Regions from separate parts of the Mus musculus genome. Here regions 1, 2, 3, 4, 6 and 7 are each reported to be linked to region 5. Evidence: microRNA targets listed by miRTarBase, many of them from high-throughput screens and not tested one by one. Region 5 holds a microRNA gene; each other region holds the end of a gene's coding sequence.

Region 1 (4,068 bases), not on the chromosome of region 5:
TTGAGGTGGAATAGGCCTGTGATCTAGAATTCCTGAGGTACAAGCAAGATCACTGCAAGTTCAGGAGTAACCTCCCTAGTAAGTTCCAAGTCAGCCAGGGCGTTAGAATGAGCGTACAGTGAGATCTTACGTCAAGCCTGCACAACTTAGACTTTTTCTCAGAAATAAAAACAAAAGAAGAAGGCTGACATAGTTCAGTAGTAAAACCTGTGCTTAGTGTGAGCCCTGGGGTTTAGTTCTCTCCATCCTGTCCCCCAAAGAATGACCCTCGAAACATCCTGATCCAGCTGTCCACTGACTGTGATGTTCTTCTGCAGGGAAGTTGACAGACATCCATGGGAATGCCCTGCAGTACAACAAGGAGGTGAAACATATGAACTCTGCCGGTGTCCTGGCTGCACTGAGGAACTACGAGTACTATGCAAGCCATGTTCCAGAGTCGGTCAAAAATGCGCTCATTCCATGAAGGGGTCTCACTTACCCAGAGGCCTTGGTTCAAAGGAACACATCTTAATACTGATTACTAATTGAACAATTGGAGCTCTGCCTGCATTTATCATTGATCAGCGATTTATTAGTAGTTAGGGATAGAAGATGGAATTAAAGAATTTTCTTCACATCATCTAATACGCTTAAGACTTAAGTATATGATACGATTGTCATTTCTCCTGCCTAAAAACAAATTAGCCAGGTGTGGTGGCACTTACAATAGTCATAGCTACTCCAGTGGTTGAATCAGAGGATTGCTTGAGCCTAGCCTCCATTACATAGCAAGATATGCCTAAACACAGAGAAGGAAAACAAAAAAGGAATTTAATTTTACTAATTAGCTAACAGGACCAGTTGTTTTTTTTTGTTTTTTTGTTTTTTTTTTTTTCCTTTCTCTTGTTGTTTGGGCTTTTTGTTTGTTTGCTTGTTTGTGGGTTTTGTTTTGTTTGTTTATTTTTTTGTTTTTTGTTTTTGTTTTCAAGACAGGGTTTCTCTGTGTAGCCCTGGCTGTCCTGGAACTCACTTTGTAGACCAGGCTGGCCTTGAACTCAGAAATCCGCCTGCCTCTGCCTCCCGAGTGCTGGGATTAAAGGCGTGTGCCACCACCGGCCGGCATTGTTTTTGTTTTTTTGAGACAGGGTTTCTCTGTGCAGCCCCAGCTGTCCTGGAACTCACTCTGTAGACAAAGTTGGCCTTGCACTCAGAGATTCCCCTGCCTCTGCCTCCTTAGTGCAGGGATTAAGGGCTTGCCCCACCACACCTGGCTCAAATGTTACTATTTCTAAGTGAAGAAATGAAAAAGGGTTAGTTTCAAATGACTGTCCAAGTCATTTGTGCAGTCAACATTCCTGCTGATAAACCAGATTTCTTCAGGGCACAGAGTCTTAAGTTACTCCAGAATTTCAGTTGTTTTGTTTTTTCACAGTAATTTTTAAAATTTCTGATTCCAAATAAGAATGCATATAATGATATTATTTATGTTGATTTATGGGGGAAAGTTTCTCTAAAATACATAGTCCTATCTTTTCATATTATATATCAGATTTTTTTCAAAAGTATTTGAAAATTATAAATAATGTGAGGATTAATTTATTCTCTTGTTATTAAAATCTATAATTGGAAAGCTGGGTAATTGCCTTTATTCCTTCCCCTGAGAGAATGTACAATCAGTTTGATTGTCACCTTCAGTAGACTGAGAAGCCCTACCTACATCAGGAAACAGGGCTCCCAGGAAGGATGAGCTGAGCTGGAAATGTAGGCGGCACTATCGCCTATGCTGGAGCCTGGATGGAATGAAAGGGGACAGAGAAAGCCAAGTGCCACGGGTTCTGTTTCTGCTGTCTGGTTGCCGTAAGGTGAGCTGCTTTGTCCACCATCCCTCCTGGCAGCCCCACCCCTAACCTTCTTGAAATCTTTCCCTCTGGCACTTGTCACAGCAACACAAGAGTCTTCTTTAAATGTGATGTTCACAAATCTTTGGGTATTTCATTCAGGCAAAGGTCTGTGCCGATCATAATTGCCATTCCTTCCCACAACCACGTTCACACGCCTGTAACCTCTCCCAGACCCACTCCACCTCTTACCACTTCCCAGCCTCTTTTCCTTTTCTTACAGTAACGACCAAGTCTAGTTTCTGCTGTCCATGTTCTCTGGTAAGTGGTCATCCACTGAGTGTAGTCGGCCTACCAGAAGCTGCACCCTTAAAGAAAGCTAGCTTTTACTCCTACAGAAGCTATCAATGTCAGCATGCCGTGAGATGGTGGTAGATGCCCCTCCCCTGCCAAGCTGGAATGTTAACAGGCTTGATCTTGGTTTTGGTGGGGTCTTAGGCAACCTCAGCTGCTGTGAGCTCATGAGTGTAGCGGTCATGTTTGACCCTGATTCTCCCTGACCTCTGACTGTTCCAATCCTTAACAGAAGCCCTAATACACTCTCCTACTTTAATGTTTTTTTTTTTTCACTTTTTTTTTCCAGTTGTGGATATTGAATCCAGGGCTTTGTACATACCAGTCCAATGTTCTACCAACTAAACTATATCCTCCCCCCATGGCTTTTTTTTTTTTTTTTACTGTTTTGGTCTCTGTCTGTTCTTTTGGATGAAGCAAGTAGAATGCACACTCAGAATGTTTAAGGCCCTGGGTTTAATTACTAGAGCAGCAGTCTCCAAAACAACTGCATGACAGATTCACCTGAAAAATTTTTTTCAATGCACTAATTCTGATTGATTGATTGATTGATTGATTGGTTGATTGGTTGATTTTGCTTTCAGAAAGCTGCTTTTGGGGCTGGAGAGATAGTTCAGAGGTTTAAGAGCACTGACTGCTCTTCCATAGGTCCTGAGTTCAATTCCCAACAACCACATGGTGGCTCACAACCATCTGTAACAAGATCTGGTACCCTCTTCTGTTGTGTCTGAAGAAAATGACACTGTACTCACATACATAAAATAAATAAATCTTTAAACCAAAAAAAAAGGCTACATTGGGCATGTGGCTTTGCCTGTGATTGCAATAACTTAGGAAGGATACAGGAGGATGAAGAGTTCAAGTCTAAGTAATACAGGGAGACACTGTTCTTTAAAAAAAGGGGGTGGGGCTGGACAGATAGGTTAGGGGTTAAGAGTCCTTGTTGCTCTAGAGAGGATCTGGATTTGGTTCCCAGCACACATTAAGAGGCAGCTCACTATCTCCTGCAACTCCAGTTCCAGAGGGTTTGACACCCTCCCTCCCTTTAAGGCACCTGCACACATGTCACACATAACTTATGCAGGCATGCATACATACACAAAAATTAAAAGTAATTACATTTTATGCTGATCTTGGGATAATTACTGTATTGCTCACTGGGATTACATCCATGGCTTTTTTATAGGACTGTCAGGATCTAGTAACAGGAAGGCATATCTGTGGCTTCGAAGGATTTGATCACTCCCTCTCGTAACTCCTGATTTTCGTTCTCTCCCTTCTAGCTGCTTGCCCTCAGTCATTTTGCTCTCTCCTTGTCTTCCTTCCCTCAGATGTCACTGTTGGCTGAGGTTGTACTCCTGGCTTTCCACTTTCTCAGTAGATTATCTGATACCTCCAAATAAACGACTTCACATAAGGTCTTTGCCCAGACGTACAAATGTAGAGCTCAACGAATTCTCAGTAGCTTATGCTCGACTTAGAGTGCTGAAGATTCTGTGAGACCAACTCTGGCAACAATATCATCCTGCCTGAAACTAACAACAATAAACACACAATATGTATTTGGATTAAAATGCTCAAACTCTAAGCCTAGTATGGTGGTACACATTTGCCATCTTGGTACACCAGAGGCTGAAGCAGGAGGATTCTAAGACTGAGGCCCACTTTTGCTATGTTGTAAGAACCTGCCTCAAACATACAACAAAACTGACAAGCTAGACCTCCACTCTTAAGGCCTACTTTGATGTCTTATAGTCTCCCCTCCCCCACGTTGTTTCTAAACAGTCCTTCTGTCTTGCTCCCACTCTAATTTGACAAAACCACATGTTTTGTAACTCCACCACATCTGATCATCACTGCTTCATTCTATTTTGTTTTCATTTATTTTCTTTCT
Region 2 (4,068 bases), not on the chromosome of region 5:
AATTCTGGACTGTTCCAGGGCCTTGGCAAGAAGCTAGTAGACAGGAGTGGATCTCTGGAAAGTTCTCAACAAGTACTCAAGGCTAGCAACAGCAACCTAGTCTATCTGCCTTACTGCTTACAACCCCTGGATGTCTGTTAATATGTCGTAGTATAAAAGTAAAGTTTTGTCTCCATTTTCTTTTTTCATAGATCGAGACATGTGATCAAGCATCATGATGGTAGGTTTCTTGACTTTAAATAATGGGCCTTTGGGGGTGGGGTGGAGCTGGCGGTAGAGCACATGCCTAGCGTGCATAAGGCCTTGAGTCCTGGTCCCAGCACTGCAGGAAGAGAATTGTTTGATTCACTATCCTAGGAGCTGTTTATAGACAGCTCAAACATGATAAGCATCACTGTATGAAAGACATTAATTAGGGTGGCTTGATCAGCTACAGAAGGATCCTTTGGGGTCACATTCTTTTATCCTGTGGACTGGCAGGAAGGAGGAACGTAGCCATGTCACTGGCCCTCTAAAGGGAGAACAGCACCTTTGTGCATGCAGCAAGGCAGGTAGGCAGGTAGGCAGGTAGGCAGGCGGGTGGTCAGTTACACAGCCTGCATGGGTTTGCCGACCTTCTGTTTTAACCCTGCCAGTTCTGCTGAGAAGGCCTGGGACGATGAGCTTGCTGTCTTTGTACAGCAGTGGCCTTGCTCCTCACCCAGAGGAGCCGAGTGACAGAGCTCTGCGGGTACATCTTAGCCCTTTCAGTCTCTAGTTGGTAGGCACTAGATTTACCTTCTGGAGGCTTCCGGACACTCAGGGAAAGAAATGGACAGGGTTGTAACTTCATGTAAGGCACCGTCACTGATGTGTCAGAAGGAAGTTGAGGAGCGTGAGAGGGAACGTGGGTGTCTCTGTCAGGTGGAGTCTAGTGGTAGAAAATCCAGCTTTTCGGTGAAATCCAGGGCCCTTGAGGCCAAAAGCTCACTCAAATCTTGTATTATATTTATTTCTAGGAAAGGGGAATTGATGAAGGGGGTGGGGATGGGTGATCTGCCCAGACAAGCAGTTACCAAATGGTGGAGCCAGAACTCACCTCCTTTAAGAAGGTGATTGTCCTACAAACTCATTTGATGGTGAGGTCTGGAATGTAAATAATGTAATGTTCGGCTAACCTTCTCCTTCTCTCCCTCCCTTCCCCTTTTCTTTTCAGCTCTGAAGATTCATTTGAACCTGCTTAATTACAAATCCAGTTTCTAATATGCTATACAATTTATGCACGCAGAAAGAAATAGCAATGTACACATCACCTTCTTTATATCTTACTTTAAATATTTTATGCATGTTTTCAAAAAATTGGAAATATCCTAGATAGCTGAGCAATAAATCTTCAATAAGTATTTTGATCAGAATAATAAATATAATTTTAAGAACAATAGTTGATCATATGCCAAACCCTCTGTACTTCTCATTACTTGGATGCAGTTACTCATCTTTGGTCTATCACAACATAAGTGACATACTTTCCTTTTGGTAAAGCAAAGAGGCCTAATTGAAGTCTGTCACTGTGCCCAATGCTTAGCAATTCTCACCCCCAACCCTGTGGCTACTTCTGCTTTTGTTACTTTTACTAAAAATAAAAAACTAAAAAAAAAAAAAAAAATTGTTGCCAGACATTGCCAGTGTTACATGAAGTGGTTTCTAGGTAGCATAAATGCCTGCAAGCACGTGCGTATTTTTCATCATCTAAAGAGGCAGTGGGTATCTTAGAAGGTTCTTGCAGAAGCAGGCTCCTCAACTAAGGGTCGAGAGGAAAGTGACTAGGAAAGGCCTCCAAAGCAGAGCAGTAGGAGGTGGTGATGAAGGTCAGGGAATAATAGGAAGAAACTGAGAGGGGAGTGAGGATCTCAGACGTGCTGGTCCCACAGGGAGCTCTAGAGCAGAGATCACATCTTACAGTTTGTCTTGGTGATGTGCACAGCTTGTTGCTGGCTCCACAGGACTGTATGCTAGGATGAAAGCCCAGATACTTTGGGGTGCAGGTTATGGTTATGGGGTGCAAGTTATGGTTATTGGTGGCAAATTATGCAAAAGCTAGGGACTGGTTCTTATTGCTGGATGTAGGTAGAGCATGGGTGACTACTGTGTTTCCTGTTAAATTCTGCTGGGTCTACAGCACACAGTCTGAAAACCCCACTCTGAGTTCAGAGTTTTGGCTAATGTTAAAGAGGGAATGCTAATCAATTTGGAACTAAGTTTGAATCCTAATCTTACAAAAGTTACTATAACATCCATGACTTGAGCTCTTAATTTTGAGAGTTTAATTGTGTCCCCAAAGCTCCTTTTGTGGCTGGAGATCTAGTCCCTGGGGGTGGTGATAATGAGAAGTGGTGAGGGCTCTAAGAAGGAGTGTGGTGGGAGGTCCTGTCAAGGGACAAGGAGCCGTCTGAGTTCTGAGAGGGCTGTTAGAAAGGCAGCAAGCAACCGGGCGGTGGTGGCACACGCCTTTAATCCCAGCACTTGGGAGGCAGAGGCAGGTGGATTTCTGAGTTCGAGGCCAGCCTGGTCTACAGAGTGAGTTCCAGGACAGCCAGGGCTATACAAAGAAACCCTGTCTCAAAAAACCCAAAAAAAAAAAAAAAAAAAGGAAGGCAGCAAGCCTGGCCTCTTCTGCCCTTCCTGAGGCACGTCTTCTGTTGCTGTCGGTGGGAAAGAGGAACCTTTGGTTATCATTAACATTTTGAAATTTCCAAACTCTTAAGTAAATCTCTTCTTACTAAGTAGCTTGTATCAGGTATTTTGTTATAACAATTACTGATTAATAGTAACCATAAGCCAGAAGTGGGACAATCAATCTTGCATCACAAAGCTTTATTTATTTATTTATATTTCACACAACTGTTATTATTGTAAATTTAGATTCATTTAATTTTGTGTATGATACATGTACATATGTACACTACATGCATGCTTACTGCCTATGAAGTTCAGAAGAGGTCATCTGGAGGAAGTCACATCCCCTGGAACTAGAGAGTTATGGATGACTGTGAGCCACCATGTGGGTGCTGGGAACTCAACCGGGGTCCTCTGGAAGAGCAGCCAGTACTTTTAACTGCTAAGCCTTCCAGTTATTTTTTTGTGTGTATACGTTTGTGTGTGAGGAGGGAGCATGCATGTATATATGCTTGTGTAAGGGTATGCATGCAGGGGGTGCATGTATGTTCATGTGTGTGTGCATGTGTATGTGGGTTGTGCATGTGTTGTATGGGGGGATATGTGTGTATGTGTGTGTGTGTGTGTGTGAGAGAGAGAGTGCATGAATGTATGTATGTATGTATGTATGTATGTATGTATGTATGTATGTATGTATCAGAGGATGGGTTGCTGCTGGATATCTTCTCCAGTTGCTATCACTCTCTACCTTATATTTTGAGGCAGAGTTACAGTGAACGGCAAGCTTGGAGATTTAGCCGGCCATCCAGCCCCAGGGATCTTCTAGTTACCACCTTTCCAGTGCTAGGGTGAGAGGCACATAGCACCTTACTCAACTTTTCTGGGATGAGGGCTGAACCCAGGTCCTTCAGCTCCAAGACTGAGGCACCTCCTAGGCCCCCAGTACATGATATTTATGGAATGTAGATGATTTATCCCAGCAACCTCCTGGGATAAAGTTCCTTAGGGTCCTAGGTGTATTGTTTGATCTTCAGTCTCTTCTTCTGTGAAGGTTTCATCCTGTTTGGCTAGTGAAGTTTCAGTAGGACTGAAAGTGGCTGTGTTACTACTGGGCTTAAGGTGCATAGGGAAACTTCATGGGAAGTTCCTCCATAACCTGGAGAAAAGGCAGAGACGTTCATCGCACAGAGACATCACAAGAACAAGACTGCACTGGAAGCCTGGGAACTCAGTAGAAGGAAAGAAGACTAGAATTGCACCTCCAAAGACTGCTTCCTGCAGCAGCCAAGAGCTCAAGATGAACCTGGGTGAGGGACCTGGGAGAATGAACCCCACCCTCCACCTTGGAAAGGACCTCAGGGTAGCTTGCAGAGTGACAGATGTGGGGAAGTGGATCCTTTCCACCTGTCCCAG
Region 3 (4,068 bases), not on the chromosome of region 5:
TGTGGAAGTTGAGAATCCCACAGCCACAGCCTTTGCCCAGGGATCTATCTAATCCTTCATCCAGAGCCTGTCTGCTGATTACTTGCAGTCTGCCTTGAGCAACAACTTCCCACGACAGGCCTGGAACTCCTTTCTCTCTACAGAAGCCGTACTTACATGGTCCCTGATCCTCCTGGCCTGTTTGATGGTCACGTGTGGCCCATGTACCAGAAGTATAGACGGGAGATGGAGCAGGACGGGGTGGAAGTGGGTAAGAACCAGAATGAGGCTCTGCCAATGCTCTAAACCCCAGGCTTCCCTACATCCCATTGAATCCCATCCCGGGCTCTCCTGCTGCTCTTTCCTGTCCTGAGAGAGTCCACACTGCTCTCCCTACCAGTCCTGACCCAGTCCCTTTCCGGTTTCAGTCTATTTAGATGGCATGAAGTCCCCGGAGGGACTCTTCCATCAAGTTCTGGAGGATATTCAAAACAGACTGCTCAACACATCCTAGCAAGACGCAGGTCCTGGACAGCAGGGCCTGAGATGTTCTGACTGGACGCAGTGGCTCTTCGCCTATAGGAAATCTGTACATAGGAGGGCATGTCCCCACACACGTGCAGTGGGCACGGACACTGTGAGATTTTCTAGCACCTCAACATTAAAGTGGACTCTGTTTTTTAACCTGGCGTCCTGTATGGTCCCTATGAGGTGAACCTCTCTCAGACCCTTTACTGGCACCTGGTGGCCTCTGTGGGTAACCTTGTTGATGTGCCTCAGTTTCCCTAAAGGAGACATTCCTCATGAACTTGGGTAAGGAGAAACAACATCTACCCTAATGTAGACAGGCACAGAGAGGTCACCTTTGGTACTCAGAATTACACAGTAAGTTGGTGTGTCCAGCTAGAAAGCTTCTCTGCCTAAATAGGATGGAATTCTAGAGAGTTCCCGAGGGATTCCTGAGATCTTTCTTCTCTCATCTGAGCCTCCCTCTACTTCTTTCGGAAACCAAAGCCAAGTCTCACTCTATAGGGTTATTTGGAATCTCCTAAATACACACACACAACACATGCTGCCTGTCCTGCAACCAGCATACCTGTCTCCTCTCACACACAACCATACACCCCCTGAACCATGGTGACAGTCTCAGTGTGATTTTTTTTTGTTTTTTTGTTTTTTGTTTTTTGTTTTGTTTTTCGAGACAGGGTTTCTCTTTATAGCTCTGGCTGTCCTGGAACTCACTCTGTAGACCAGTCTGGCCTCAAACTCAGAAATCCACCTGCCTCTGCCTCCCAAGTGCTGGGATTAAAGGCGTGTGCCACCATTGCCCAGCTCGGTGTGTTTTTTATTACTTGTGTGGACTTCATAAAAGGGAAAACTGAGGCTCTGAGCAGAACATTTCGGTGGTGCTGGAATGTAGATGTGGAGGAGAGTCGGCTTCAGAGATTTTATTCTTTGGCCTGAGGGTGACACCTAATGGCCATCTGTGGAATTGCAATGACAGAATCCCAATTACATATAGAAAAATGCTATAGTAGATGAGTGGATGGATGGATTAATGGGTGGATTGATGGATGGATGGACCGACGGACGGACGGACAGATGGATGGACGAGTGACTGAGTAGTAGTGTTCTGCTAAATAACAAGTCTGAAGCCTCCTTGTCTACATAAGACTTTGAAAATAAAATTGTTGCTTGTAATTTTAAAAACATGCTTCTTCTTTTGCCTGGGACCTACTGGTTTCCACCTTCTTTATTGACCAAATCAAGAACCAATTAGGGAACTAGATTTTAGTATCAGCTCCACCCACACATAAAATAATATAAAAAAATACAATAAATTATAAAATTCGTTTTCTTTTTTTCCTATCCTTTTCTTTCCTTTCCTTTTCCCCTGAGACAAGGTTTCTCTGTGTAGCCCTGGCTGTCCTGGAATTCACTCTGGCCTTGAAATCAGAGATCTGTCTGCTTCCCTTCAGAGTGTGGGGTTAAAGGCGTGTGCTATCAACGTCTGGCTCTTGAATTCCACTTTCTAACACTTGAGTTTTACCTTCAAACTTAAGGGTATTTTGTTTTGCTTTGGGATGGGGCTCCTGTACTCATTTCTATTTCTCTTGTCATGCTGCCCCAATCAATATTAGTGAGACCTGCCTTCTGCGTGACAGATGTGGGGTGTCCCCACACCCACAGGTAGCAATGCAGACATCTGTCATCTCCCCAGCTGTAGAAGTCCTGTGACCAACGTGAGGAGCTTCCCTGTAGGGTCGCAGCGTCAAGGTTAAGCAGAGGCTGAAAGCACAGGACTGGAACAGGGTTTATGCTTGCCAAACCCAGGCCTTTGTCCCAGGCACAACTGTGGCCAGACTCATCTGCTGGTCACGTCCCCCAAAATAGTTCAGCATGAGACAGGGACATAAGGGAGATGACTTCAAGGCAGCCAGAGCCTGGCCACTCAGGCACCGTAGACATGATTCATAGAATAAAGAATGAACTTGGGGCTGGAAGGATGGCTCAGTGGCTGCTCTTGCAGAGGACGGGAATCAGTCTCCAACACCCTCAGGGTGGCTCACATGCACTTGTAATTCCAGCTCCAGAGGACATCTTTCCGGCCCCTGTGGGTACTGCACACATGTGGTACACAGACAAAAATGCAGGCAAAATATCTATACACCTAATGAAAAAAAAAAGTAAAAAATAAACTGGGGGCAGCAAGAGGGCCCAGTAGGTAAAGGAGCTTGCTGCCAAGTCTGATGACATGAGTTCCATCTTCAAGGCCCTTATGGGAGAAGAAGGAAACCATTCCTACAAGGTATCCACTGACCTCTACACATGTGCTGTGGCATGTTCACGTGCCCCCCCCACACACACACATGTACACACCAATGTAATATGAACATTTTAAATGCTGGGACCAGCATCAGAGTCACTGGCTTGCCCAGTCTCCCCAGAACATCCCATGTCCTCAGGGACCCCACCCTCGGCTCACCAGGCGGGTGCACCTGTGTCGGGATGGGTTTATTGCGTGTTCCAGAGGCCTGGGATGACTCAGAAGAGGTAGGTTTCTGACCCGTGTTCTGTCTGTCAAGCAGAGCCTTGCCAAGAAGCCCTGCCCTTGGGGCCTCCTTTGGGTCCTAGCATGCTGGGGAAAGCCCCTCGAAGCCTTTCCAGAGGGACAGAAGGTTCCAGGGTCACCTGCCTACCCCAACCTTCTCCTAGCAAGCTGGCCAAGCCGAGGCCTCTGCTGGCCTCTGTTAGTGACGTGTGCCTCTCCCACCCACTCAGAGAGAAGCAAGCTCCCCCACAAACACTCCAGACATTACCAGCATCCCTAACTGGGCCATAGGACGGTCCAGGACAGACACAGGACACCCTGACATTGACGCCCAGAGGAACAGTGTATAAAATGGATTCCTCTACATGGCTAAGAATACTGAGGCTCAGGGAAGATGGAGTCCCTTGTCCAAGGTCTGTCACAAAAAAAGGTGGATTAGAGCTGGGCATTCTGACATATCTACCAACCCAGCACTCACTTGGAGGTGGAGGCAGGAGGATCAAAATTTCAAGGTCATCTGTGGCTACATAGTGAGTTGGAGCTACATGAGACTCTGTCTCAACAAACAAACAAACAAAAACCTCAGGTTGGTGATTGTGTCCTCGTGAAGGTTCTCGGTGGGGGCTGGGGACAAGTGTCACATTGGGGGAGCTCCAGACACAGAGTGGGACACTACTCAGCACCTTCCAGAATGCCCCACACAGAACACCCAGCCAGACATCCCCACAAAATGAGCTCAAGGTTCCTCTGTCTCCCGTATGGGTTACCGTGCTGATAGGGACACTCACAAGCCCCAGAGCCAGCAGTGGGGCCTCGTGGCTGACCCCTCAGCTCTATTGTCCCCAGATCCTGAAGAACTTGGCCTGTGGGACCTAGCAGAGCATAAGGTCCCCTGCCTGGCTGGATTTCCAGACTCCATACAGACACTGCTGTGCCTCAGTTGAGTTGAGTCCTAGGGATTCTGACCAAGGTCCCCACGCACTCGAGACAAACACTTTATCCACCGAACCAGATTCTCAGCTTTTCTTGTTGACTCT
Region 4 (4,068 bases), not on the chromosome of region 5:
CCAAGTTTAATGCTCCTGTGGCCAAGAAGTGGACCATGGACATCTGACATGGTGGTTCCTGTATCAAAACCGTGACAAGAGGGACCTGGATGCATAAGACAATTCCTTCTGCCACAGTCAAGTCTGCCACCAGAGGAGCTAAAAGGCCAGGAGAAACACTACCGTTGGAGACATCTGCAGGACACAGTAGATGGGTTAATGTATGTAACAACAAAAAGGGCCTGGTTTGGCATAGCAGCACCTAGCTAGACATGAACTTTATACATGTATTCCCATAAACAAGATAAGCAAGGAAAGGCTTATATTGCGCACACAATCTATCCATACGTATAACTTTTACTACAAGTTTTCAAAGATTTTTTACATTGTGTATGAACACGTGTGCAGTACCCAAGGCCAGAAGGTGTCATTTGCTGAAAGTGGACTAATGATTTTGCGTACTAATCCTGAGCCTGCCCTCGAGAGCAGCAAATGTTATTTTTTGTTTGCTTGTTTTCTTTTTAAGCCACCATGTGGTTCCTGGGAATTGAACTCAGGACTTCTAGAAGAGCAGCCAGTGCTCTTAACCACTAAGCCATCTCTCCAGTTCTCTGGTTTTTTTTTTTTTTTTTTTTTTTTTTTTTTTTTTTGTGGTAACAGCATCTATGTAGTCCTAGTTGTCCTGGAATTCATTATGTAGACAAGGCTGGCCTCAAACTCAGATCTGCCTGCTTCTTCCCAAGTGCTGGGGATTAAAGGGTGTGCCGAGAGGCCTGGCTCTCTCTCTCAGACAGGGTCTGTCTCACTAGGTAACCCTGGCTACCGAAAGATCCTCTTGCTTCTGCCTCTGCAATTCTGGAATAAAAACTGTGTGTCACCACACCTAGCTGAGCATGTCTTTAATCCCAGCACTCAGGAGGCAGAGGACTAGAGTGAGACCCGTCTCAAAACAAGTAAATAAACAGAATGTTATAGCAATCAGTTCTATCCAGTGAGAATGCTATAAAGCTTTATCAGTTTAAAGGTTGTTTCTCACAGTACATCAAAGTGTAGTGTTCAGCAATGCTTGCATCTGCAGCAAGCCCCAGCTGCTTAGCCCTAACTAATACCAGGTGCAGGATGAATGTGCTGGCAATCACGGTAATACCAAAGTCACAGCAATGACTTTGAGCATTTCATGACAGGAGGCTCTCATCAGAGGCTGAATTCTCTAACTGAAATTAACCCAGTCTGTGATTCCTGGTCTATGCAGTTAGTTTTAAAGCAAACAAAAGGTGGTTAATGTCACAGCACGTCAGCATGTGTGGAACTACCACTGCTAGACAATCCTTCAAGCTTCCTGCAGATTTCCCAGACTGCATTCCCTCAGCTACACAGAGGAACACATTAGCCCGTTCTTAGCAGAATAAAGTTCTCTACTTCCATTTCCATAAAGATACAGCCATTTATTATGTGGGGAAACATGTTAGCCTTCTTACACCTCGAGGCCTTATGCACGGTTTATCTATTAAATTCCAAGTGGCACCAAATCGGCATCGCAGCCACACAATTTCATCAAATCCAAGTCCAGTGAGCTTAAGAGAAATGAGTACATTTGTTTGGCTGGGACATCCAGTTATGGTTATGTAGAAAACTCTAACTTAGCAAGGCATAGTGGAGCATAATTTAATCCCAGCACTCAGGAGGCAGAGGCAGGATGACCTCTGTGAGTTCAAGACCCGCTTGGTCTTCATTGTTGATTTAAATCAACAAACCCTAACATGGGAAAGTGGAAGGCTGCAGTGGTGACCTCTGCGATCTTTCTATGCATGGAGAGCTAGAAAAAGACAGAGAAACTGCTGGCCTGATGAGTTAATGAAGCTGAGGAGTCTTAACAACCCTGAATCACTGCAGAAGCCATTTAGGGTTTTACATCATTTTATGGCTTACTACTACCTCTTTTATTCAAGAGACAAGAAATAGCCTTTAGACCCAATGGACATAAAAACATGGCATCGTTGACAAAACCCACAGCTACAAGCTAGTGGGAAAATGGGTTTCAGCACCCACATTCTAACAGGACATTAAGTGATCAGAGCAGAGCTCACTTTAGAAATCAGGGGCAAGCCGGGCATGGTGGCGCATGCCTTTGATCCCAGCACTTGGGAGGCAGAGGCAGAGGCAGGAGGATTTCTGAGTTCAAGGATAGCCTGGTCTACAGAGTGAGTTTCAGTACAGCCAAGGCTATACAGAGAAACCCTTGAAAAAACAAAAAACAAAACAAAAAAACAAAAAAAAAACCAAAAAAAGAAAAAGAAAAAAAAATAAAAGCTTAGGGGCTCCACCTACCCACCTATCCCTACTCAACAACCTGAAGTAAGTATTACAATCTGGAATTCTCTTAAAAGTTGTTTTTAAGGCAGGGTCTCTACAGATCCCTGGCTGTCCTGAAATTCACCTTGTTGATCAGGCTGGCCTTGAACTCAGAGATCCGCTTGCTCCTGCCTCCCAGTGCTCTGATTAAAAGTGTGCACCAGCATGCCAGGCTCTTGTTTTTTAAAATGCAGCACAGCATTTGAAGAGTCACAGAAGGTCCCTTCCCTGTGCTTGAGGTATGTGCATCTCTACTCAGTTACTAAGTTTCAAAAACCATCAGGGCAGCAGGTGTAGCAGTGGGTAGGGTGCTTGCCTAGTATGAGAAAGCCAGGGTTTTTTTTCTCCAACACAGCATAAATAGCATTATGGCACATTCCTGTAATCCCAGCCCTTGGGATGTGGAGTCAGGATTAGAAATTCAAGGTCATCCTTGGTTACAGCACCAGCCCAAAACCAGTCTGGGCTGAAACTTATCTCAAGAAAACAAAATGACCAAAACCAAATCTCTGGCATTCTTAAGGAGTGACATTGCATTCTTTTTTTTAAAACTCCTAACCTACACACAGCCTGAACTCTTCTCAGACAGGGAGTTCTGCATTTGCCAGAAGTCTCAGTGCCTCCAAACCCAGGCTGGTGGTGAAGTGTCTGCAGGGGCTGGAGTCACTTACCCGCCTACTGCTAGGATCCTTGGTGTGGCTTTTCAGCAAGACTTACTTCCTGAACATGGCAAAACACGCTGCAGCAGCAAATCCATTCAGTTCTGGAATATGTTAAAAATTCAACGTAGTCCTTGTGATTCTCCCACCTCCCCCAAAAAGATGCATCCAATTAGCCATGGAACATGCTACTTTTCAGTGACTTTTGGATGCCTGCAAAGTTTTATAAAGGCTTCCTTCCACATGCTACAAATACTGACAGACCTGAGGCCCACATATTGAAATTTATCCCAAACCAGTTTTCCCAACTCATTTCTTTTCATGTTGATCTGTCTCAGTACAGGACACAGGTGTGTCACACAGCACTGACCATTACGAAGCCATTTTGTTGACTTGGAATGTTTTACAACATACTTAAACCCTGTGGACCTAATATTTTTCTAGGCAGCATGGAAGTGCACTGCTCCTAGATGTGCTAACGTGAGAAGTGTCTTTCAAGTTAAAGAGTAGCCTGAAATGTTCTGGTGTGACCATACACTCTACTTAAAGAATTATTAAAAAACAGAGCAAGACATGGTATGTGCTCTTGACAGTCCCAGTATTGGGGGGTTGTATGTGATGCTTAACACATTATCTTTCTCCTTTTGACTGCATTTTTCAGAGGGCACTTTTATATGCTGTCTGTGTCTCTGAGGAATGTGCTGACATTGTGTAATGTAAATACAAATGACGCATCTGTAGCACGTGTACACGTACACACACAAAGACACAGAGCAGAGCCTCAGACCACAGAAGTCGTGCTCTCGGGATTCACCCGCAGGAGCCGGGATGCGTTCCGGAGGTCCTGCAGCTGCTTGGCGGGCTTCCCCACACCTTCCTCAAACCTCCTCTCCACCACCGGGAGGACAGTTTCATAGAGAAAGGATGCGTTCTGCCTGATGAAGGCCTTCTTCTCGGGGTCCTGCTCACAGCGCAGGCTGTAGTCCACATGCTGCACAGCCACCAGGATGATTTCTACCAGGCTCTCCAGGAGCACCATGTGGAGCTCAGGGAAGTACAGTTTCAATGCCTCCTCCAG
Region 5 (4,068 bases):
TTAGCCTGATTCCTCAGGTGATGAAAGAAAATGCTGAGTTGGCAACTCTATTATTAGGGAGGGTTTCAATTATAGATATGAGAGAGAAAACATCTGGATCTATCTTGAAGAGTCTGTAACAGAGAGAAAGAAAACCAGATTGGACATTGTGAGATCTATAGCATGCATGTTGAAATGTACTTGTGGTACAGAAGGAACACAGAGGCCAGCATGGGCTTTGATAAGCTAATAGGCACCATGGATATATTTCCCTGTACCCATATGTCTCATCTGCCATAGGTAAGGGAAATGTTTCCTTTAATAGCTGTGAACTAGTTTCTGGGAATGCTAGAATTTATCTAACCCTCAGAAATCCTCCTTTACTCACTGTAGCTTGAGCTCATTCCTGGATGTTTGGAAAGTCTGTGGCCTCACAATTATCTGTTTTCAAATCTTCCTTGACTTCTGAGTGTATTTCATCCACTCAACGTGAAGCTCAAAAGGAAATTTGCCTGATTTCTCAGGAGATTTCTTCTGGGCCAGTTTGGTTCTGAGTGTCACAATGTTCCTTGAATCCTAGGGCCTTTCCACACAGCTGTTTCTCTATCATGTACAACTGTCATGCACATCTGCCATGCACATCTGCCATGCACATCTGCCATGCACATCTGCCATGCACATCTGGCATACACATCTGCCATGCACATCTGTTATGCACATCTGCCATGCACATCTGTCATGCACATCTCCATGCACATCTGCCATACACATCTGTCATGCACATCTGCCATGCACATCTGCCATGCACATCTGCCATGCACATCTGCCATGCACATCTGGCATACACATCTGCCATGCACATCTGTTATGCACATCTGCCATGCACATCTGTTATGCACATCTGCCATGCACATCTGTCATGCACATCTCCATGCACATCTGCCATACACATCTCCCATGCACATCTGTCATGCACATCTGCCATGCACATCTGTCATGCACATTTCTCAGGCTTAATGTTGCTTAGTATCTTTATTTTCTAATTTCTCTCATTTGTTGTCTACAATCTGGACATGCTTGCTAGTTTTCACTTATATCTAAATTTTGTGTAATTTTCTACTTTCAGCAGTAGTGTAGCAGAGAACAGATGACATTTTAATTTCTTCTTTCTACTGTTTTTAATGTGCCCCGTCTGCTTCAAATGTTCTAATCCTATCCTCATTGCTAAATTGTATTGTACCTTCAATTTTTCAACTAAGTAATTTCTCACAGAAACCTCCTGCTATGACTGGATAATGTGGACTCTAAAGCAATCTATGTGGACCCTTTTTAAGGAACACAATTGTTCTTGTTGGTTTTATTTATTTTGTTTTATCTGTTTCTTGAAGCTAGGGTATGTATTGGGTTTGCATTTACTTCCTTATACCTGGCAAGCATTATGTACGTCATATACCAGCCATACGGTAAGTATATATGAATGTGTAAATAATTTTACAATTTATTTTCCACTTAAAGTTTTTCCTTGCTTAGCCAGCCAGTCTGGCCTTACTTCCCTGTTTTACTTGGGAATGCACAGTGATATGTAGTGACAGTTTTGAACACACTAAGATGTTAGATTTGCAAATTTCTGAAAAATATTGTATGTTAATTATTATTGACATTCATGGTATACATACAAAAAGTCAAAATTCTCAAATCCATAGATGGCCTGAGAGATATAATCCTAGTCCATTAAAATTTAAAAATTATTTTCTTTTTAATGATCATAAATTAAAATTCTAGTTTTCTTTTAAATCTTTAGATAAATGTTACCATTGAAGCAAACATAACAAAGGAGAAAAACGAAAGATGTTTCATTCCTGTGAATTTATTAAAGCAGTGCCCATTAGAGATTTTTTTCAGTTACTTTGGTGTTTTGTTTTGTTTTGTTTCTCAAAGCTGAACCTAGTGAGGAAACTAACATATATTTAAGTAGCCTCAGAGAGTTTCAGCCAATCACATGCAGAACTCAAACTTAAGATAGAAAAAAAATCAGATAAAATCTAAGAACTTATGCAAAATACATGTAGGCTAACTGAGACTATTTTTAGAGCAAAACAACCACATCATGTGTATGTTGTAATGTGAGATGCACGTATGAAATGTCATTCCTTATTTTACTTCTCTCCTCCCACAGGTTATATTAATATCCATATCTCAATTCTATGAGCATAGTGGGCATTTTACTTCTCTTTCATCTCTTGGTTGTTCTTGCTCATTCCTCTAATTGATCTACCTTGATACATAATACGGAAAGTATAATTTGGTTTTATGTATTTTTCAGATTTTTTCAGTGTTTCTTATTATTTTACCAATTAAAAATGTATATATTATAATACTATATATATAAAACCTGTTGATTCATGAATGTTTATTCTCTTGCTCAAATGTTGTTAAAATTAAATTAAATTATATTTTAATGCCATATGAACGATAAAAAGATGTCTTGAATAATTTTTCAAACTCTGGGCATGGTAGCATATAATTTTTATGTTCATGTGTACAAGCATTACATAAACTGTCACGTGCTATGGATTTCTCTGTGAATCACTATATCAAATCTAGTGTGGTAGTGGTTTACAAAGTAATTCATAGTGCTTCACAGGTGCTCCTACAGTTGATCTGTATTTTGAAACCTAGGATCCTTCATTGGGCCATTGAGAACAAATCCTTAAGCTATAAGATTTAAACCTTTCATAAACAGTTACTTTGTTAATTAGAGAACAAGAAGCAAAGATATGTCAAGCACTGGAAAATTAAGCTACATATATTGTAACTTGCTTGTAATATAACACCTGAGAAGCTGAGGCAGGAGGATGGCAGCATTTGAGGACTGCCTATTACATATTGCCAGGCCATCTCATATCTCATATATATATATATATATATATATATATATATATATATATATGTATATATATATATATATACACACACACATATATATGTGTGTGTGTGTTTGTGTGTGTGTGTGTATTTTACATTTATGCACAGTCTGTTCTTGTTTTTTTTAGCAACACCTGCCCCAACAATTGGCAGTATGCCCTATTTTTAAAAATGCAGTAGATCCAAAACAAAAGCACTGAATTGACATCTGCACCCATTAATTATAAGTGAAACATTTTGAAATTTAATTCTGTTACTATTACTTGGACAAATATATATATATATATATATATATATATATTAATAAAGAGGAAACATTTTTACAGAGAGCTTATCCAGTGACTTTACTGATTATGCAATTCAAATAGAAATTAATCAGGGAATTTATAAACATCATTATTTTAAAATAATTTTAAAAGTAACTAAATTTTAATACTATTCAAATGATACAGACACAGAATTAGCCAAAATATACAAAATTGTATACTTAATTTGCCATTATTTATCATTAATTCTCTACAAATTTAGCTTCTGTCATCTTTTAATGGCAAAGAAATTTAGTAAGAGTCTAAAGCCATCGTCAATGTTTGAGAACTTGGATTGTGCATCAAGAGAACCAGGGTACAATTTGCTGCACACCTGCATCATATGCATCACAGAAACCAATAAGTTCAGCTGAAGAGATCTGACACTCTCTATCACTCTCTATTGGCCTATGTTGGACCTTACACTAATGTGCATGTTCCCACACACAGATGCACTCATATACATACTCATAGTGTTAGAATAATCTTTAAAATGAGTAAGTTTCACAAGGCTAAAGAGTATAGTTGCTATCATGTTACCTACCAGTTGCTGGGAAACAACAGGAAGTTCATGGTTATTACCCTCATTAGTGTTGTTAAATGTGCTGATTCTAGAAACAGAAACCCAACCTTTCACCATTAGTTTTTCAATCGCTGGTATAAGCTCCAAAAATTTTGTTTAGTTTTGGTATATGAGCTCTTCTATTTGAAGGCTAGAACTTAGGTGTAATCTAAGCTCAGTCATATGGCAACAAGATTTTCGTAGTGATAGATTGTATTTATCTCCGATTTCTTGTGACACCATTACATTCCTAAATGATAATGAACAGGATTCTGAAATTACTTATGAATCATCATT
Region 6 (4,068 bases), not on the chromosome of region 5:
GGTACCTGTAGCGGTCAGAAGAGCGCACTGGAGAGCCTGGACCTGGAGCTATGGGTGAGCCACCATTTGGAAACTGAACTAGAAACTGAACCCAAGTCTTCTGCAAGAGCAGAAAGTGCTCTTACTTGCCAAGACACCTCTCTAATCTATAAAGTACATGCATAAAAAAGTAAAAATAAAAAGTAAAAGAACTTTTAAAATAATCAGAAAATAACACCACAATATTTCACAGTAAAATCTGGGTCAAAATGGATCCCCTGGGCGATAGCTTTGGCGGTTCCACAAGGGAAGGGGAAGCAGGAATATCTGTATGCATTCCAGCCAGGGCTACATAGTTAGAGCTTAGCCCAGAAACAAAAAAAAAAAAAAGAAAAAGAAAAAGAAAAAGAAAAAGAAAAAGAAAAAGAAAAAGAAAAAGAAAAAGAAAGAAAAAGAAAGAAACAACTAGGCAGCAAAGAAGAGGAGAGAGGGAAGATGGGGGGGAGGATCTAGGAAAGTAAACAGAGGGAAGGGGTGGGCAGCCTCAGGAAGAGGTCCACAAGAGACAAAAGCCAGGGGGTAAATGGGGCTGGGAGGGAGAGCGGTGTATGTCTTCAGAGCGGGAGTCAGTATGGACTCCTCTCAAAGGCTCAGGCTCTGTCACTGAGCAAGATGAAGAAACAAAGGCTGGATCTTAGTTAGGTCTTTTAGTAGCTTGGATCTGTCCTCTACACCAGAATACCCTCAGAGGCCCAGGCCACAGCAAGTTCCAGCCTGCTGTAGAGCCTACACACAGGGTCCAACGTGTTCTTTTCCCCAAGGCTAGGAGAGCCAAAATATCCACCAGGTTCTTGTTCCTAAGACTTTGAAGGCAAAGTTAACACTAAGGCCTATGGGGCCCACTTTAAAAAAAAGAAAAAAAATCACTGGCTGACAAAAGGACAATAAATCCTGCGAACTGGCCTGCAGAGTCAATGCATGATGCCACCACCTCCTCCACTGACTTCCTCCTCCATAGACATATCCTTCATCACAGTCCCAAACCTGCCTCAGCTACCTCCCTTCTCCTCCACTAATCACACATCAAGCCTGCTAAAACCAGGCCCACAACGCCTATTGCACTCCTTCTGACACTATGTACAGTTCTGAATGACTCTTGCTTGTAAGTCTGGCCTTTGTCCTTAGCTTCAAGATCATTTCTAGGCTGCTAGGTTTTGTCTTAGGAGTTGTTTGGTGGGTATCAACTAGGCTGCCGTAGTGAGGCATGGAGCATTCAACCTCTTTGGGAAATGGCCTTAAAGTATTGCTCCAGAGCCTCTGGCAGGGCTGGAAACTAGGTTAGCCACATGGTTGATAGGATTACTCTAAGGAAAGAGGGCTTGGTGATGCACGTTGTGATCCCAGTACTCAGAAGACTGAGGGGAGATTGCTATAAATTTGAAGACAGTCTGGACTACATTGCTAGACACTGCCTCAAAAAGAAAACAAGAAACAGGAACAAGGAAGGCAGATTGAGGCATGCCTGTGATTCTAACAGGTAGAGGCAGGAGGGTCAGTTCATCATTCCTCATTCTTGGCTCCACTGAAACTCTTAGAGATAATCCAAAACTCTGGTCACCTAAGGCTCAAGTGAGTTTCCTGCTTCTTGGTACCATTTATGGCTAAGGCAGGTACTGGGAGAAGAGAAACCTTCCTATACCCCCCCCTCTGCCCCCCCAGGCTCTGCCCCCCCCCCGGCTCTGCCCCCCCAGGCTCTGCCCCCTCAGGCTCTGCCTATGTAGTTCTTCCTTCAGCTCATTGTCCTTTCACTAATAAACGATCCTGTGACTCATCTTAGCACATAGCCAACCTGAGGGAGCTAGTCAGACAGTGGCTTGCAACTGCTTTTAGGATAGTCCCACAGACCCGCAGAGCCTACCAAACTGTGCACCTCTGACTGCCTTATGAAACCCTTTGTGATCTGCCCACCCCTTGCTGAATAACCTTCGTTCCTTACTCATTTACTCCTGCTTCCTGAGCATCAACCATGCTCTCATTCGTATAACCAATATCCTCTCCAGACCCACCCCATGTCTAACTTCGGACACTGTAACAGTATAACCTGTTTATGACTTGGGACTGGGCCACATTCATGAGTTAACTCACCTCTCTTGTTTGAACCGTCTCCTGCTCTCAAGCCCAAACCTGCTCTCAAAAACATCTTTCTAGTTTTGCTTTTTCCTTCTTATGTATGTGTGCTTTGCCTGTGCTTATACTTGTATACCAAATGCAAGCCTGGTGCCTGCAAAACTAGAAGTGGGTGTTGATCCCAAGACTAGGAGTAAACGATCGTTGTGAGCCGTGTGGATGCTGGGAACTGAACCTGGCAGCCTCTACAAGAGCAGCCAGTGCTCTTAACCTCTGAGCCATCTCTCCAGCTCCTTTTCCTTTTTGATCACTCATCCATATCCTTCATACAAAAAATGTTTATTCCTTATTTCTTCTCCATTTCCACACAAGAGATAACATAGCCTAAGGAAGCAAAGGGTTTGTCTTGTTGGCTTTTTCTGGAGATGGGGTATCCACTGGGTACTGGGGATCGCAGTCCTGTCTATATGGTAAGTGCCTCACCAAAGAGTAAAGAAGGGAAGCCCCAGGCCCTTGGCAGTATGCAGTCTTCAACTCACCCCACCCTTTTTCTTAAAGACTGTGCTAAGAGAGATAAGGAAGAGTTGGCAATTCCCAAGATTCTTGGGCCAGAGCGAGGAGGTGTGGTTACTCCAGCCAAGACACTTTGCTGTTAACCATGGAAGGGCCCTTCTCTAGCCTTGGTCTCTAAATGATTAATTTAAGAGCTGGAATAGCGGCCGGGCGTGGTGGCGCACGCCTTTAATCCCAGCACTTGGGAGGCAGAGGCAGGTGGATTTCTGAGTTCGAGGCCAGCCTGGTCTACAAAGTGAGTTCCAGGACAGCCAGGGCTATACAGAGAAACCCTGTCTCGAAAAACCAAAAAAAAAAAAAAAAAAAAAAAAAAAAAGAGAGCTGGAATAGCTGTCTACAACTGGCTGCGACTATGGCAGGGGCAGGGAGGAGCAAAAGAGATCAGGAGCAAGAGAAAGTTCTTCTAGAAGGAAGGAAGGATGAAAGTCACAATCTCATGAGGCAGGGGTGATGTTTTTATTTGAAGACAAAAACACCCAGTATAAGAATTCGTATGTAATCTGCAAAAGTTTAAAAACAAGGAGAGGAAGACTAGAATCCAAAAGGCCTGGGGAGAACAAAGGAGGGTGGTAGGTTCTGCATAGGAAGGATCAGGCCACAAAGGGGAACTGTAACAGCAAGCCCTCATAAGGATTCAGGCTCAGGTTTTCCAGCTTCAGGGAGGTGTCCTCCTCACGGCTTTGCCGGGCACTGTCGGTACTAAGCAAAAGTTTAGCGCTGGCTGGCAGGCTTATGCCAGCAGGGAGGTTGGAGGCCCCTAGCCTGGCTGACCGGCCCGAATCTCGGAAGTTGAGCACCACCAGGTAACGCTCATTCTGGTCCCAGTGTCGTATGTAGGAGAAGAGGTCAGGTGAGGAAGACAGTGCATGGAAGTCACCGTGCAACAGAGAGCGCTCCTTACCCCGAAGGTCACTCAGCCGCCGGAACTGGGTAAGGAGGGAGCCAGGGTCTTCATTCTGGCCCTGAAAATGATAGACACACACAGAAGGAAGGAATGAGGGGGATCTCTGTCCATCTGTACAGCACCTGCCCACCCTGAGGGGCAGGCCTCAACTGCTTACCTTCACTGTCATGTTGAGGCTTACAGGTCTTGGGATGTGAAAGATGCTGGACTCATTCCACGGCATGAGTGGGGCCTTCGCAGGCTAACAAACAGAGAATGTGGGACTTAAAAAAAAAAAAAGGGTGGGTCCATTCCCCTTCCTCCCATTCTCTTTCCATTTCATCATTTTGTGTTGTTCTCTGCTGGTTCTGCAGGTATGATGCCTTTGTGGCATGGCCCCGGGACAGGACCTCATCTGGTCACCACTACAAGATGTACCTTTCTGCTTGTCCAGACTCTCACCAAGCTTCAGTTCCCAGAGCGCTCAAAGCCTCTAGCCAATGGGT
Region 7 (4,068 bases), not on the chromosome of region 5:
TCCTCTTTTGGGTCTAGCTCCTTCAGTTGAGTATATGAAGTTACTCATTGCTATATACATTAGCAATTATTTCCATTGTGTGGATGCACCGCAGTCTGATTTCTGGTTGATAGATCTTTCTAATATTTGTGGTTTGGGGTTACTATAAACACAACTGCTTTAAGCATTCAAATACAAATCTGTGGAGTCTCCTGGTTTTTTTTCCCCCTTGGGCAGCAAGACGACTGAACTGTGTTATGGACATGCCTAATTTATAAGCAGCAGCTGTGCCATTTTCAGTCCTTTTGGGGGTTCCAGTTGTTCACCACCTACACTAGCACTTGATATTGCTATACTGCCCCTCTGTGGGCCATTTCAGTAGGTATGCAGTGGTGTCTCAATGCTGATGGTCTCAGGTACTTTTTGTGTATGTGTCCATTGGTGTTATCTATTAGTGTGATTCTGATAAGGTTCAAATATAAAATCTTAAGAAATAGCCGGGCAGTGGTGGCGCACGCCTTTAATCCCAGCATTCATGAGGCAGAGGCAGAGATAGGTGGATTTCTGAGTTCGAGGCCAGCCTGGTCTACAAAGTAAGTTCCAGGACAGCAGGGCTACACAGACAAACCCTGTCTTGTCTTGAAAAACCAAAAAAAAAAAAAAAAAAAAAAGAAAAAATTGAAAATATACATAAAGCTCTTCTAATATTTAACATATTACACACTATTTTTATATGTATGTGGATATTTAACTGCATCATTTGAAATAAGTACCAAATATCATCTCTCACATAAATACTAAAAATAAGGTTTTTTTTAATGTAGTGCAAGTTTATCATTATATAAGTTAACAAGTTTTTTCCAGTCTATATAATCTCTCAGTTTCTCTATTTTTTCTTACTTTTTTCCTCCAAAGGGCAGGGTTTTTCTATTGTAGCCCAAGTTGGCCTCAGAATCATGGAAATTCTCCTGACTTTCATGTGTCTAGATAACAGGCATGAAACACCATGGCCAGCTAGTCAAAAATCTCTTTTAGATCTAATTAGACTACAAACACAGTTATTGGTTAACCTAAATCTTTGACTTTTTGAAGAAAAATTAGCCAGTTGTTTTGTAAAGTAACATACATTTAGAACTTACCTTATTTTCTATAAACTGGAATTTGGACTTCGATTCACTATAGGCCTATTTTTGAAATGGGTCCTTTATGTGATTTCAAAAACCACACTTTTACAAGTGTGCTTTGTATAAGGCTTACAAGCTGCTGAGGCTGGTGTTGAACTCCAAATCCACTCTTAGCTTCCGAACTACCCTCAATTGTGGGACCAGAGCACTCACCATGCCTTGCTCAGCAGCAAAAACTTTTGACAATATAATTTTCATAATGCTAGGAACTGAAACTGAGACATCAAACAGGAAATGGAAGTGCTTCAATCCAGCCCTCAAGTCATTTATACTGCACTTTCTTTGGGGGAAAATTCAGGAACCTAAAACACATATAACTCACACCCCAATTTTGCTAATTGATTTTTTTTCATGTTTTTCTCAGTTCAAAAGAAAAAGTTAAAGTAAAAAAGACTGTAACAATGGTGCTTTGGAAATAGGGCAACACCACGTACAGTTATCCTTCATAGATGTTGGCTTTGTCCCAGGCATTCCTGACAGTCTTTTATAAATGTGTTCACTTGGTAAACTGGAAACAGGAGTGCCCCTACCTGACCTTAAACTTGCCAAGCACATGCCTCAGCCTCACAAATGCATCAGCACTGAGATAATGGGCATAATTTATCATGCTTTTGTTCCTTTCTGCTGTTAAAAAAAAAGTTTAAACTACACCCGCTGGTCTGTGCCTATGTTCCCAATATTTAGAAGGCTGAGACAAAAAGTTTGCAATTCAAGGCAAGCCAAGGATACATGAACAAGATCTCATCTCTAAAACTCAAGAATAATCACACAAATGGCCATTATTTTTCTGCTCTTTCACATTCACAAACGGTCAAATACCTGTCATTAAATTTTGGGAACTGCCCTCCACCACCAACCACCCCGAAATAGTATTTTAACTGGGTTTCATTGTACACATCTATAATCTTGAGCAGTGAGGCAAAGGCTCAATCAAAGGTCAGGAGTTCAAAGTCATACCCTGTTAACACAGTGAATTCTAGGTCAGCTTGCACTACATGAGATCTTACCCTTCAAAAAGTGATCTTAATATATACTAACTTTACTAGTTAATATATTATTTCCCCTATATTCTAGAAGAACAAAAGGTGTTTGTTAACTACTAGGTAGTCAGTAGGTAATTAGATCTTTAATGCAGAAACTGCTGTTTCAGTATGTTGGTTACATATGGTTTTTATTCAGGCTTGTCAATTAAGAAATACAAACCAAGCAACTCTTAGTTGCTTCTACAGGTTCACTCTTTCCTTACAGAAGCTGCTCACTACAGCTCTGAAGTATAGTATAGGCAGCAAGAGATTTGGGTGGAGCAACAATTCATCTGAAATCCAGAGTTAAATATTTACTTCCTTTGGTGCCTTATACAGAAAGGCACTGTTAAGATGTTACAAAATAGAAAATAACCACAGCAAATAGTTCTAGTGGCAACTTACTATCAACAAGTTACAGTGGTGGTGATGATTCTTTTCATTTTTTTTACAATTATAGTCTTTAAACTCTACACACACACACACACACACACACACACACACACACACACACAAGTGCTATTATGAAATAGTCCCTGCCCCCCCACCCCCCTCAATATACTGAACATAGCAGTTTCTTAGAACAAAAAAAAAAAAAAAAAATCAAGGCAAGTCTGATTTCAAATTTTCAATATAAAAGCAAAAGTATGTAATGCAACAGCTGTTCAACTTCCAACTCTATAGGCCCCTAACAAAACAGCCCCGTGTTTAAATGTCTCCAGCACACAATCCAGTAGAAATGCTCAACTGTAATCAACTAATAACCAACGTGAACAGAACCTTAGAAAAGAAGTTACAATACTTCCCTTCACCCTCTCCTCTTATAGTTGGAGGAACAGGTATCAGGAGATATAAAAGTCAAAGGAAGAAGAATTATAATGGAAAAAAAAAATCCTAAAGCTGCTGCTGTTTGGAATAGAAAAGAAGACAATATTTTACAAATGTTCAAAAACTGCAAGACATTAACACAATTCATTCACTATCACTCCTAACTTGAAAGAATAGAGAACAGTATCTCATCATATAAACTGTTATGTTCAGGTTCACAAAAAACTATGGATGTAGTTTTAGGCTTTATGAAGGAAAACAGGTTCAGTTCAAATCATTGGATACTATACATCTAGTCTGACTGGATCGGTGTCTAGAACTGTCACCCTTTACAACTATAAACAATAGCATGTAACTCCATGGGAAGCTTAAGGATTGAAGATATGTACACAGCTAGTTAGATCTCCCCTGCTTCACGCTCTTCAGAGCTCCTCCTGTCTTCTGATCTGCCATTAGCACTCTCATAGGACCGCTTCTTATCTTTTCGATCTCGGTCACGAGGTGATCTGTCTCTTGAACTCCTGTCTCTGTCACGTGATGCTAAGTCTTGATCTCTGAATCTTTCTTTTGAGGATCTGAAAAATATTAATTTGAGGAGCAAAATATGTTGGGACACCCAAAATCCAATGAAAGAATAGGATCAATATTTTCTGATAGCTGAAGAAATAGGTAAGAATATATCTGAGAAGAGAGTTTCTTATAGAATAGAGTCCTACTATACAGCTGAAAAGGGCACCAAAACAAAATTGGGAAGAACAAATAGCTATACAGTTAAGGGCAAAAGAGCCTAAACTAAACAATGTATTCTTAGTATTTCAGAGATAAAGTTTCTTCAACTAATAAAAAGGCATTTAGTATAAAAACAATATATAAGTAATTGCTTTTATAAGTGAAAAGTATCAAGATTCCAAATTGGATGGAAACCAATGAATTTGTACAGCAGTCATCTCTTGTGCTAAATAAGGATTTGAAGTGTTGTAAATTACAAGATCAGGGTGTATGAGTTATTCTTTTCTATCAACTTTAAAAATGACAGAAATGCAAAACCATCCATA

What was found. The annotated mature microRNA mmu-miR-876-5p reads UGGAUUUCUCUGUGAAUCACUA and lies in region 5 at 2,550-2,571, shown strand. An mRNA with a match to its seed (bases 2 to 7 or 8) in the 3' UTR can be bound and repressed. Matches are read on the target gene's strand: a 7mer-m8 pairs with bases 2 to 8, a 7mer-A1 pairs with bases 2 to 7 and ends in A, and an 8mer does both.
Region 1: miRTarBase lists Bpnt1 as a target of mmu-miR-876-5p. Seed matches in the 3' UTR shown: 7mer-m8 at 1,041-1,047.
Region 2: the mRNA of B2m is a reported target of mmu-miR-876-5p. Seed matches in the 3' UTR shown: 7mer-A1 at 1,228-1,234.
Region 3: miRTarBase lists Nmrk2 as a target of mmu-miR-876-5p. Seed matches in the 3' UTR shown: 8mer at 1,250-1,257.
Region 4: miRTarBase lists Exoc8 as a target of mmu-miR-876-5p. Seed matches in the 3' UTR shown: 7mer-m8 at 2,146-2,152.
Region 6: the mRNA of Slc3a2 is a reported target of mmu-miR-876-5p. Seed matches in the 3' UTR shown: 8mer at 2,879-2,886.
Region 7: miRTarBase lists Luc7l2 as a target of mmu-miR-876-5p. The part of its 3' UTR that is shown has no 7-base or 8-base seed match.

The regions. Positions count from the first base shown.
Region 1 is chr1:185,356,161-185,360,228 of GRCm38, forward strand. Bpnt1 (3'(2'), 5'-bisphosphate nucleotidase 1) reads left to right here. Exons shown (of 9, transcript NM_011794.3): 9 at 318-1,609. The coding sequence ends at 466. Among named protein-coding and RNA genes, the nearest start is that of Eprs, 4.8 kb to the right of the region's middle.
Region 2 is chr2:122,151,456-122,155,523 of GRCm38, forward strand. It overlaps B2m (beta-2 microglobulin), which reads left to right. Exons shown (of 4, transcript NM_009735.3): 3 at 192-220; 4 at 1,196-1,627. The coding sequence ends at 205. The region is part of intron 2 of Patl2 (protein associated with topoisomerase II homolog 2 (yeast)); the gene reads right to left. Among named protein-coding and RNA genes, the nearest start is that of B2m, 5.8 kb to the left of the region's middle.
Region 3 is chr10:81,195,786-81,199,853 of GRCm38, reverse strand. Nmrk2 (nicotinamide riboside kinase 2) reads left to right here. Exons shown (of 7, transcript NM_027120.2): 6 at 144-250; 7 at 408-1,684. The coding sequence ends at 493. All of the region lies in intron 1 of Atcayos (ataxia, cerebellar, Cayman type, opposite strand), which reads right to left. Among named protein-coding and RNA genes, the nearest start is that of Atcayos, 3.1 kb to the right of the region's middle.
Region 4 is chr8:124,891,705-124,895,772 of GRCm38, forward strand. It overlaps Exoc8 (exocyst complex component 8), which reads right to left. Exons shown (of 1, transcript NM_198103.2): 1 at 1-4,068. The coding sequence ends at 3,772. Among named protein-coding and RNA genes, the nearest start is that of Exoc8, 4.0 kb to the right of the region's middle.
Region 5 is chr4:36,643,925-36,647,992 of GRCm38, reverse strand. Mir876 (microRNA 876) reads left to right here and starts at 2,540; the gene lies at 2,540-2,620. The region is part of intron 2 of Lingo2 (leucine rich repeat and Ig domain containing 2); the gene reads left to right.
Region 6 is chr19:8,704,454-8,708,521 of GRCm38, forward strand. It overlaps Slc3a2 (solute carrier family 3 (activators of dibasic and neutral amino acid transport), member 2), which reads right to left. Exons shown (of 9, transcript NM_008577.4): 8 at 3,741-3,824; 9 at 2,429-3,641. The coding sequence ends at 3,270. Among named protein-coding and RNA genes, the nearest start is that of Slc3a2, 7.4 kb to the right of the region's middle.
Region 7 is chr6:38,607,673-38,611,740 of GRCm38, reverse strand. It overlaps Luc7l2 (LUC7-like 2 (S. cerevisiae)), which reads right to left. Exons shown (of 10, transcript NM_138680.3): 10 at 2,271-3,588. The coding sequence ends at 3,411. Among named protein-coding and RNA genes, the nearest start is that of Klrg2, 28 kb to the left of the region's middle.